Oryzias latipes: one gene and its partners. The protein of the gene in region 2 purifies or fractionates together with the protein of the main gene of each other region. This does not show direct contact. Links are inferred from orthologs where the notes say so. Each region holds a gene or a part of one and is shown on either strand. Other genes may lie near its edges. The genes, in order: cyth2, c7h1orf106 and cep170.

Evidence for each region.
Region 1: the proteins of c7h1orf106 (region 2) and cyth2 purify together in Homo sapiens (co-immunoprecipitation; 3 studies listed by BioGRID and IntAct, counting the BioPlex papers as one, with this or other methods). This does not show direct contact. The link is inferred for Oryzias latipes from reciprocal best matches to the Homo sapiens genes INAVA and CYTH2.
Region 3: the proteins of c7h1orf106 (region 2) and cep170 purify together in Homo sapiens (co-immunoprecipitation; 3 studies listed by BioGRID and IntAct, counting the BioPlex papers as one, with this or other methods). This does not show direct contact. The link is inferred for Oryzias latipes from reciprocal best matches to the Homo sapiens genes INAVA and CEP170.

What each region holds. Positions count from the first base shown.
Region 1 is NC_019874.2:19,306,301-19,310,561, reverse strand, and holds the start of cyth2 (cytohesin-2), read right to left. Parts: upstream 2,921-4,261; 5' UTR 2,798-2,920; coding exon 2,731-2,797; intron 1,749-2,730; coding exon 1,598-1,748; intron 1-1,597. UniProt on the Homo sapiens protein: Acts as a guanine-nucleotide exchange factor (GEF). Promotes guanine-nucleotide exchange on ARF1, ARF3 and ARF6. Activates ARF factors through replacement of GDP with GTP.
Region 2 is NC_019865.2:11,211,757-11,216,202, reverse strand, and holds the start of c7h1orf106 (innate immunity activator protein), read right to left. Parts: upstream 2,850-4,446; 5' UTR 2,536-2,849; intron 1-2,535. Other genes in the region: protein FAM107B-like, read right to left, coding at 4,319-4,423. UniProt on the Homo sapiens protein: Expressed in peripheral macrophages and intestinal myeloid-derived cells, is required for optimal PRR (pattern recognition receptor)-induced signaling, cytokine secretion, and bacterial clearance.
Region 3 is NC_019873.2:16,496,682-16,500,332, forward strand, and holds part of cep170 (centrosomal protein of 170 kDa), read right to left. Parts: intron 732-3,651; coding exon 639-731; intron 86-638; coding exon 1-85.

The DNA of each region.
Region 1 (4,261 bases), on a different chromosome or scaffold from region 2:
GTATAAGTCGCACCAGCCCAAAAATGCATTATAAAGTAGGAAAAAAACAGATAAGACGCACTGGACTATAAGTCCCATTTTGACGGGAAATTTATTTGACAAAATCTGAGGCTAGGGCTGCACGATATGAGGAAAACTCGCGATATGCGATATTGGTGATTAATATTGCGATAACGATATAATTTGCGGTATATAAACAAATATCAAACCAACCAAAAACATCATTTCCATTTCAATGCAACAGTTTAAAAATTATACTCCAAATGACCCTCGTCGACATAGGAGGCAAACATCAAAAATAAAAGGGCTCATTTGATTGATCAACAGCGTAAACGGGTCCTTCCGATTGGTTAAATGCATTAAGGTATTTATTTCATCTTTCAATATTTCAAGCGGCCATGAGTTTGTTTTAGCACATTTAACCCTTGTGCTATCTTAGATGACCCCCCCCCCCCTTACTTTGATGTGTTATTCCTAGCATGACAAAGGTGGATAAAGGTGGAAAGATTTCATGTAATCCATAGACACCAGTGAAGATCACAAATAATTGAAGAAAAAAGGTTCAGTGCACTGTCTAATGGGTCTAGATGACCCAACTCCCAATGTTAAAGTGCCTAGGATAGCACAAGGGTCAAGGTAACCATTTATTGCGATTTTCGCCGTCTTTTGCGGTATGCATATTGCAAAGCTTGATGTCGCGATAACGATAAATTTGCGGTATATTGTGCAGGCCTATCTGAGACCAAGAACTAATAACTTGCAAAACCTCATATGACACAATCATAGCAGACTGTTTATCTCATAATTTCACCGTAATTCTTTCTCATACTTATTTATTTATTCCTTTCATGAAGCATCATTGGCACACTAATACTCTGTTTTCATCCTGTATTTGTAGAAACCGTTGTCATTTTTATTGCATTTCTGAATCTATGAAATCATTGGAAAATAGAATATTATGTTGTTAGCCTTCAAGATCTTACTGTAAAAAAAGGTTTGCTGATTCTCTAAGTCACTTAACATACTCTTAACACCTAACATACCTCATACATCAAATTGACCCAGGAACATCATCTCTGTTCCTCACAAATGAACATAACAGGAGGGTTAACAATGTATTTATTTCAATTTATTTCTAATATAAATCGCTGCAGAATATAAGTCGCACCCCTTGCCAAACTATGAAAAAAAGGGCGACTTATAGTCCGGAAAATACGGTAAATTATAATTATATGGTTCTAAAGTTTCATTGCTTTGGATGCCTGGAACTACATGTGTTATGTATGCACACAATAAAAAGGTTAATATTGTTGCAATTATGAAAGTATTGCTTCCTTTTTTCTTCTTTTAAATACAAAACAAATTGATCAAGACAAAAGTTACATGAATTGTTCTTTAAGTATAAGATAGAATAAGGTATGTGACTCTGTGAAGCCAGATAAATAATACAGTAGTTTAAGATAAACTGGTGAAATGGGTCATATGGAACAAGAACACCAGTCAAATTAGAATTAAAGATGAGCTTTCAACTTATGGACAATAAGCACTAGAAATAATTATGCATCAGCAGAACACAGGTTTCTCTTTTTTGGTTTACCTGCCCTCTGTGCTAGTCTCCAGACCTTCTACTTCTAAGATTGCTTCTCTTAATTCTTCCCTGAGCCTCTGGATCTCTTGCAGCAGGATGCCCTTCCTCCTGCGGATGTCCTCCAGCTCAGAGCGCTCCTCTGGGCTCAAGTCTACTGGGACTGCAGGGGAAGAGAAGAATGATCGCACCACTACTGCAGCTGGACATCATAAATGGTTAAACTATGCCTAACCAATCTGGGTCAACCGGCTCAAGTGGTGGTAAGACAAAAGGGACTTGATTGAAACTGAAATATCAGCTGGGGGATATTATAAAAAAAAAAAACATTTTAAAAAAGACCATGGGGGGAGGGGGGCAGACATTAATGGATGGATTTTGACACACAATGATGCCACTCAAGGAAAAGTTTTCCATTCATTCAATTGTTGACTAAATAGTCCAAGCAAATAAGGAAATTTTTTACTGAGGTTGCCGGGTAAATATGACCAAAAACCACTGCACATCACTCTGGCCCAAGTAAAGACCTGTGCAAAAACATCTGAATGATAAAGGTGGTATTGTAATTTGTGCGTTGAAAAGGTTTAATAGAAATAAGTCACAATAGCTTGACCTTGTTCTTTACGGGTAAAATTCTGTAGCCAACTAAGAATCTCAATATAAAACCCAGTTGTTTCCACAAACCTTTGTTGTCAACATTTTCATTTGCAATAAAGTTGTTTACAAAAAAGATGATCCACAATCTTCTGCAGCGTGAAGCTGTCTCACAAATAATTTATTTGAACCACCAACCACGCCCACAGCCTGGTGTAAATAAGGTTTACATTTTAGAAGAAAAGCCTATACATTTAATAAATATTGTTGTATGCACATTAAAAGCCCGACTCAGTGGCAAGTTTAGATCTGCGACGTCAATTTTATTAAACTAGCACGACGAGGCAATCAACGACACACACTGACTGTGTCTTAGGTAGCTGTTTATTTCATTCAGTGCTTTGTTTTGTTGTTTACGTGATTATATAAAACAATTCACTCCTTTGATTTAAGGAAATATGTAAAGCCGTGTTTATCTTCATGTATATTTTACAACTAGCTACGTTTAGCTACGATATTATGGGCAAAAAAACGAAAGTAACCCCACTTACTGTAGTCCAGGTCATCCATTTTTGGCGCTTTACTTTTAGGCATAAATAAATCAGAGTCGAGTGTCATAAATGTAAAAAAAATTGGGATGTATAAAGTAATATATTCTCAAATCAAAGGAAAACTGAACAACCACTGGTAGCGAAATCCTGGGCCGTAGACAAAGAAGGTGGTAACGCCGGAAGTGGTAACTGAGTTTGTAGAGATGTACTTCCGGTCAGATGTTTTTCAAAATAATGATCTCTGGATTTGACTGTGTAAGGAGAATGACAGCAACATGTTTATCGGCTTTGTTTACACGGTCAGAATGAGTATACGTAATAAAATAGAAATATTATGTCGAGATGTAAATATTCCTTATTAAAAGTATGACTTAGTAAATAAAAGCCAGGTTTAATTTAAAAAAGCCTTGTGATAATATACAAAAAAAATCAATTAAAATAAATGAAACATTTAAAAACACTGATTTGTGGAGTTTATACATTGAAGCCATAATCTGTATTTTCCAAAAATTGAAATAAGGTAAACAATTTTTAGAACATTGTAGAAGAATGGTAAATACCACATTCAATTACTGAATGTGTTTAAAATTTGATTCACGAGTAAATTGTAAAATCTGTGTGAACGTCAATTACTAACTTTCTGATAAAGCTCTGTAAAAGTCTGCCTACCATCTGTTGGCTCTGGAACGCAAAATGAAGTCCTTTGGACCTTATGAGTCCACAAGTGAGTCCATGTCAAAGTCATAAACCTATTGAGTTTAGATCAGATTGTTTTCCAAACTAAGAGGCTATGAAAGATGCTTTAAAAGTAAACTGTTCAAATTAAGGAAGGGCAAAGTGATGCACACTTATAAGGCTTGCATATTTTATTGACAAAGTGTGACAAAAAAAAGACAAATTGATGAGCTACATTTATTTGAAAACAGAGCTAAAAACTGTACATTCTAATATGATTTCATTGGCTTAGTAATAATTACAATTTCTTTACAAGCAGCAAACTATAGACATCTTACTGGCATTGTCAAGGAAGGAATCAGACCAAACGTATGTTTAACACTATAACCCCATTCTGGCTCTAAACAACAACAGGATTAGAAAAGTAAGCTTTCATAGCCGGACTTTCAATGTGAACTAAAAAAGGTTTGGCAGATTTTAGAATTAAAGTGTGTGCAGATTCTCACATAATTCAAATTCACAAGAACAACCTGACATGCTGCACTTACATTATGTAGCTATGTAAGCACAAGGTTAGTATAGTGTTCTAGCTGCAATGTGAAGCAATAAACGTGTCAAAAATTTGACTCAATGTCAGAAATGAAGTTGAACCCATTAAGACCTAATGCAAAATACACATATTGCAGTTTCCATTATCTAAAGGGTACCTAGGAACTTACATTTCAAAAATTCATCAATTTAAAGACTTACTATAAAGATTTGGCCCAGCGTGGTATGCTGATTATGATTCAAGCAGTTGGCACATTATTTACTGACAGATCCGATGGCACATGCTGATGATTTATTCTCGAGTCCA
Region 2 (4,446 bases):
AAGCTAGTAAACAAAACCCATGTTAGCAGAAAGGAAGTGTTTCTAGTCAAGATAAGAAGGGTGTGGGGACCACATTGAGACAGACATCACATCAGACAATAACAATGTGTCATCAAAGCTTCAGTGTGTAATCCTCTGCTCCTGTCTCAACTGCTGTGCTTGGAGATTGATATCAGGCCTTTTCCTGTTGGGATGAGGAAGACCCAGCATCTATGTGAATGAGAACATTCTCTAAAAGCATGTTTTTCCATATCCCATAGGTCTGACCTATTCAGCACAGTAACTCATGTGAACTGACTCAGCTATGAGCAGCCAGGAACACAATGAAGCAGACAGCTCGAGTCTGTAAAACAACACTGCAACAAAGGCCCTACATCCAACAAGTGACCTCAGTAACTGCAGCGTGCTCAGTATGTGCTGACAGCTCAGGCTTTAGCCGCGTTGTTGTGCGTTGATAGACGGTGAGAGGTGAAGACAGGAGCATGTGTGTGCCTGTGGCCTTCCCTGCCTGCAGACACATGGCTCCATGTTGCAGCACTCTAAGAACGTCGTCAGGAATCTAGGATGGTAACAAGACACAGGCAGGGTAATGTGGGACTTACCCACTTACACCCCATAACTGTCTGAGGACTTTCACAAGAGTCTGTGGTTGCAGATCTAGGCTGAGTGAGTGGGTGGGTTTGGGTTAAGCTCATTTAGAGCTGCAGAGTTTTGCCAAAAAATGTGAATGCCATTTTTCAAGGGTTTTCTTAGAACCTGGGTCCAAGGGAATTCTGTTCTGTTAAGGAAAACAAGAGTTTTTGTTTGATTGAGTGTGACAAGAAGAGTAGAACATGTCCTGAGGAAAACTAGCCCTAATAGGACTGTCTCCATCCAGCAGATCTGACAGATGCAGCATGTGAACACCATTACCTACAAACATGAAGGAGATCTAACCGTACCACCCATCCTCACAGTTCACTGGACCGTGTATCCGTAACATCTGCGGAAGTTGATGTTTATGGTAGGAGATCATGATGTGGCTTTACTGTCTCCAAGACTTCCACCACCACCCTTTCCCATGAGCACTTGGAGTTGCGTACTCCTGGATTACGGCCACCACCACCGTGCTCATTACCACTGTGGTTGGCCCTGGAATTACCGATGGGGACCAGAAACAGTGAAGGCTGCCTGCTCAAACCCTGTAATTAAGATTCTCATGTGAACGCTGATACTATGGAAGAACCCAAATGACTTTACAGCATGCCTTATTTAAGAGCCTGATGAAAAGCCAAAATCCATTCAGCAAAAAGGATCCTCTCTGAATGCAACAGAAGAGAAAAGTGTATCGACACAGAGCAGCAGCAGCAGGAGGAGATGGGATGAAAAAAAAGAGGTATTAGATTACAAAGGGCGTCACTAGGACAAGCTCATTTCCCTAGGATGAAGTGCTGGATCCTGATACAGTCTAAAGCAAAACATAAAGAGAAGACTCCTAAGCTAATGTGCACAGGCATTCTCTGCAGCACTCCAAGGTCCCTTTCTCTTGTCTCAGCCAGCACTGATCCAGATCAATTTGACTAAGAGAACCTTAGTCTTCCAGAGACATCTGTGAAATCTCATCAAGCGTCAAGCTAAGTACTGTCCCAACACAAGAGGAAAGATCTAGATCTAGATAGATCTAGATATCTAGATAGATAGTCTTTATTGTCATTGCAACATTTTACAACAAGATTAAGGTGCAAAAATAGTCAAATAGTAACAATAAAATCAAAATAAATGGTATAAAAACAATATAAAATACAGCAGACATAACCCACACACGCGTGAACATTCTGTCATAAATGAAAGATGTAAGATCGAGGCAATCTCCCTCTAATTTATAGTTGATTCCTAAATCATCTCAGACCACTTTTTTTTATTCTCCACAAGAGAATTTAACAGGTAAACACAGAGGTGTTGCCATTTGCACAACAGCGTCCCATCACACCTCTACACGTGGATTCAGTGAGATTGTGTTTATTGTAGTGCCGGAACAACAATAGCTACCAACTGCCCCATTGCCCCACAAAAAGTAAAAGCTACACAATTCACTTTAAGGAAGCTGATTAGACAAAACTAAAACCCATCTCACAACAGCAGTATTATATACAGCAGTATAGCATCTGGATGCTTCATCTGTCTGTAAATGTAGAATCAAAATGAAATTAAGCCTTACAAGAAAATGTTATATTTAACTTTTAATAAATTTACACGCAGGATACATCACTGTGCAACATTTAATTCAGCCAAAAACATTTACATAAAGTACATTGGTACATAAAACTACTGATTCATGTTGACCTTGACATATTTTATACCTTAGATTTATGCAAAAATATGCAAAAATTAATTTAAAATATTTTAAATGACTTTCAACTAAAATCGGTGCCATTTCCTTGAGTCCCTGACAAGAGCATCTTTAATTTAACGATTGGCAAATGTTTCTGCTTTTAATTCGTTCCCATTGCTGCCTTTAAATAATCTGTTAATCACCAGAGAGCCGTCTTTACGTACCTTTTACTTTGTGTCTTTCTCCTCTACAGCATCATTTCTGAAGCCGCTGAAGTTGAACAGACTTTCTCCGGTCAGATGTTAGCGGAGCGCCTGGGACATCTGTTTCAGAAAATTCCACTTTGAAGAGGGGTGGATTCAATAAAAACACAGTCCCACTGAACAGACAAAACTTTAAAAAACTACATCTAAGTACATTTATTTTACTCTTTTTAGCTTTTATATTTGATTCAAGGGTTGCAAGCCTAGAGTCCCTGTGATAACGGTTCTTGTTTGGTGCTGTTCCTGGCGGACTCCCCCACATTCGGTAATGGTTTCGTCTGACGCTTGTGCCTTTTCAAAGACGCTGTGCGTCTGTTGACACAGCACACGACTCGCTGAGGAGGGGAAAAATACACAAAGGGAGGGAGGAGGGTGCAAAACAGACACAACTTTATTTAAAAAATGAAAAATAAAGAATTAGAATTAGAATTAAGATGGCAAATGTATACAAGATGCAATCACCCCGACCATTCGTTTTTCTGTGAATCCACTGCCAAAAAAATAAATAAAATAAAATAATCCAGGAAAGCCCTTACACAAAAAGTTTGGTGAAAGTACACTGTAACATTTGCCAATATTTAAAAATAATAGAATATTTTATTTGAATGACAATGTGTGATTTTTGTACATAGCAAACATGTCATTTCCTATTTATTATATTTGTTTTTCGTCCAGGTGTTTAAAATAACAAAATTACCTTATCAGAAAAAAAGAAAAAAACATGCAGACTTTTTTATTTATTTTATAATTCCACATCTGTTGAGTTAAACATGATACACTTTTCATGGGTTGAGCTTAAACATTTCAGGACATATATGCATAAGCTTTTTTTGTACATCATATTCAAGGTTTATGATAAATTCACAAATTTACCTCCAAAGAGCAATTTTTAAATACTTTTTATGCCAATTCTTGAATGCTCTTTTTTGATTGAGAAAGTGATAGAACAGTCTAAACATTACTTAAACTGAGAGTCCAGCCTCAGCCAGTGCGTTCTGTGACTGTCCAAAATGTCTGCAGTGCCTTAATCAGACCTTTGGGTATTCCTAGCCCTCCTGAAAAGGCTCCACCAGATGGCCTGTCCTTTTTTCTCTTCGACCCGTGATGGAATGAAAAGATTAGCTAATTAAACAAAGTCCCATATCCGTGTGAAAGACCTGCGAGAGTCCGCAGAGAGAGGACTTGCCTGCAAATCAATCCCCAATGCTTTGAATTGTGTCCAGCACAAGACATTGGTGAAAGCCAACATGTCTTTTTTTTTCAAAGCAACACTTAAATGCTTGAAATGAAAAGGTTACAAGAGATCACCTCAACAAACTTGGAGATGCGGTTGGTTATGTTTGATAAAAGACAGTTCTGTTGGCAATCACATGAAATAAAATCAGACTTGGATGATTACAGCCCTTTTATAAGCAGTAACAATGTCTTTTAATCCAAGAATGCCAGAGGGCAAATCAAAACTTGCAAAAGATTACAATCATTCAGCAACCATAAAAATAATAATTAAAAAAAACATTCATCCTTACAGCATTGTTTCCTGTCTCCAGAAAAAATGAGCACTTCTTTTTCTCTCTAGAAACAGTTTAGGAATCCAGCTCAAAGTAGACTTGTGATTTTGGTTTATGCATGCATACACCCATAATAAAAAAAAGAGTTGTTCTTTGTTAATGTGTCTTGTAGTAGGCATTCAACATAAATATTTAGGGCCACTATGGTGAGAGTATGCACACACAGATGGAACGCTTCACGGCTGATCAAACGTCTGCGTGCGCCTCAGATTGTCCCTGACACGGACAAACTCTGGGATCTTCTGCTGGTTCTCCCGTTGTCTGATCTCCTCCTGCTCATACTGAGAAAAGAGAGGCCACATCA
Region 3 (3,651 bases), on a different chromosome or scaffold from region 2:
CTCCAGAACCTTCTGGGTCCATCCTGGTATGACTGGCGGCTACACTGGCCCACTGAGACACCCAGCTAGAGTCACCGGTAAGAGCCTAACAGAGAGTGATGAAGATCGATAAAGGAACCACTGAACACATCATGAGAATTTACTGCTAAAAATTCTAAATCCAAAACTCAAAAGGAAAAAACAAGTAATCTTGTACAAATCTGCATCAATGAATCACTTAAAATTCAATATCATGTGGCAGGGATTTTAACGGCCCTCTTGCTCTGATTTGGTTCCCAGATATTAACGACTCTGAACGTTACATATACACAAAAACCATGTACCGTACTTAAAGGGCTTAAAGGATGGACAGAGCAGACACTGTCTCAGCACACTGACCCCTCCTCTTATGAAATAGCCTGGAGGGCTGAGTAAGTCTTCCTCATTTTAGTATGATCTAGGTCAGACTCAGAAGACTTGGCCTCCTCCCATAAACTAGCACGGGAAGTCACAGGAGTGATTGTGAGTCACGGTATAAACCTCAGCCAGGAGTGTTCTACTCCTAAAATGCGGTCGTTCACATCTACAAAGGTTTTTGTAGATCTACTATGAATGTAGCAAATAAAGAGGACATTCAATGAATAATACAAAGAGTCTACCTCTTTTCCAGGTACTCCACTCTCCTTTTCTTTCCCTGTTCTTTTCAGGTCGGATAAAAGAGAGTTTTCCGTATTATCCTGGACCCCAAACACCTGCAAGATGAAGATAAATTAAGATCAAATAAAAAAAAGGTAATAAAACATGTATAACTTGCACATGCAACATGTGTATGGAGTGATATTTCTGCCACTACGTAGCACACAAAACTTTCTAAGTTGCAAATGAAACTATTAAATATTTGCTTTAAATAATTTGTTATTCTGCTTTCATTTTTTTTTTTTGCTTTCAAAATTTTTTTTGCATTCAAAAACTTTTTTTGCATTCAAAAACTTTTTTTGCGTTTGCAAAACACATGTTTTCGCATGCGTTGTGTCAAATCTCCCTTTTTTTCGCATCTTTGATTTTGCTGAGTTAAGTTTCAGTTTGACATGACAAAGCTGCCATCAAACAGCTGCTAATTGGTCCAGATTCTAACCAATCAGGTGTCTCTGTCTCATATTGACGGTGCTTTTTTTTTTTAATTGGTTCAGAACAAAGGTGACATACAGCAAAAGAACAAGGAACAATAAACTGTACATCAAATGTTCAAAGTAAACGCCAAGGGATATACAAGCAAGAAAATAAACTTATATTAAATTATAAAGCTGAGCAAGGTGATACGTTTTAATTGCTTTTTTGTTTGTACTGGGGGAAATGGAATGTAAGTAACATCTAATTTGGGCTAGTAAATCAAGAAAATTAGGAGCTTTATTGCTGAATTTAGATTTGTAAATATATAATACTTGGTTAATAAAATCAGAAGATTTATTAAATAAAATTGAGATAAAAATGTATTAATATAATTAACGTAACCAAATAAGATAAGAAAACATAAGATCCCAGATTTTTTCAGTGTACTTGCAGGTCCAAAAGAAATGCACCAATGTTTCCTCAAACTGAGAACAGAAAGAAGAGTTTTTATTAATATCCCTTTTTTAGCATTTGCATATACTGATTTGTTGGATAAAACCTATGAATGATCTTGAATGAAACCTCTTGCACTTTGTTGTTTATAAGATATTTGTTTGGCAGAAGCCAAACCTTTTCTCAACACATTTGACCATGAAGTAAAGTCCAGAAAGTTATGGCCGGGGATTCCGTTTTTAGCTCCTGCTGGAACAGTCTTCGGATGGCTTTGTTTTGATTTGTCAAAGCAGAGAAGCAGAGTTTTTTTTTTTTTTCCGACAACAGTGTCCGTCACGTGAAGCTGTGGTTGGGGAGCAGACGGAGTAGGAGTTCCTTTATAAAGATAGGCGAGGTTGAGGGAAATGGCATCAAAAACATATTGACGGTGCTTGGAGGCAGACGTGGACTTTGTGTCGGTTTTGTTCTAACAGGATTCTGCCGTTTTCAATCCTTATGGCCCATTTCTCTCAGAGTAAAACCCAGAAAGAGCAGCAAAGCAGCTAAAATCAAACCAAGTTTTGTATTTATTTATGTCAGTGTAGTGACCAACGTGTATAAATATCTGCAGCAGAAAAAAAATGTCAGAGCTCCGACTCGGTCCGTCCAGCAGGAAGTAACATTTATAATTTGTGTCAGAACTATTGTTTTATTTTAATCAATAAATGTTGAAATATTAAGAGAAAATAGCATTTTTCCACGAGTAATTTTTTTCAATTTGGACAAACGCTTACGAGTTCTAAAACACAAGACACAGTAAAAATTGACATATAATTCAAAAATGCTTCTTCTGCTAAATACATTGAGTCCACTGTGGTGAGCCATCATTATTTTGCTTATTGCTGTTCATCTAATCCCAAACACTTGTGCAGCATAAAATAATATGTGCTTTATATCTTTTATTGTTTTGCTTTAACAAACAGATCTTAAAGAAAATCACACTTTTAACAACTACTTTGACAGATCACATACAGGCCCATTGATTTAATGTCAGCAGATAAACTTTAAAGTTTCAGGAGATCCTCAGCCATAAATTCAAAAATCTGACTTAGTAAAAATTAATTAATGCTAAAAAAGAAAGTATAAATTATTGTTAAAATGGTAAAAAAAAAAAGAAAAAGAAAAAGTCTTCATCCAAAGAGACAAAATCGAGGATAAAAAGAGCTGAAGAAAAAAGTTTTTGAAAGCAAAAAAAAAAAATTGAAAGCAAAATAAAAATAATTGAAAAAGCAAATATTTAGTATTTTTATTTGCAACTTAGAAAGTTTTGTGTGCAACGTGGTTGCAGAAATATCCATCCATACACGTGAACCAAATTTTAAAAGCACGTAATCACTTATTACTGTTCGGAAGGTTAACACGAATGTATATTTGGCTACAAAAAATGACTAATGCTGGTCTCTACTAAAGGATCAAATGACACACGAACAAACCAAAATCACACAAGCGTTTCACGAAAACGTGGGGAGAAAAGAGAGCAGACAGCTGTGGGCAGCTTACCAATTAACATGTCAGCTAATTACAGGAATTAAAATGGCAATGCTCCCAGCTAAGAACATAATGGACTCAGGCAGACTGAATGGATATATACTCCTCTAATTATGTCACTGCTGGTCACAAGCTAGCATCGACATAAAAAAACAGCAATTCAAGCTCACAGGCCCCGAAGATGCCGTTTAGTGAATACGGCTTTGAGTTTAAACATCTGAGTCTGCAGGTGACAATTTCACTCAACAGCTAGCTGTTGCTATTTCAAGAGATTATGCTGTTATTTTACCTACTTTATTTAAACTGTGGTTAAAACAACTAGCAGTTTGTCTTTGCTTTCCTTTTTTGATCTTATACTGACTGAACCACATTTTGCCTCTTTCAGATGCTTTCTTTGACCACTAAAGAGCTCTGCACCAAGAGGTGAGGCTGCAGGTTTTTTTTAGCCCCCCTAGGGTGTTATTTTAATAAGCAAGAACAGCGCTGGATGCAGCAGTTCACTGCAGGCAATACATTACAGAGCAGAGGCAATACATTCAGCGGGATAGAGTAGAGGGGCTGTGGTCAAGTAAAGCCATAGAG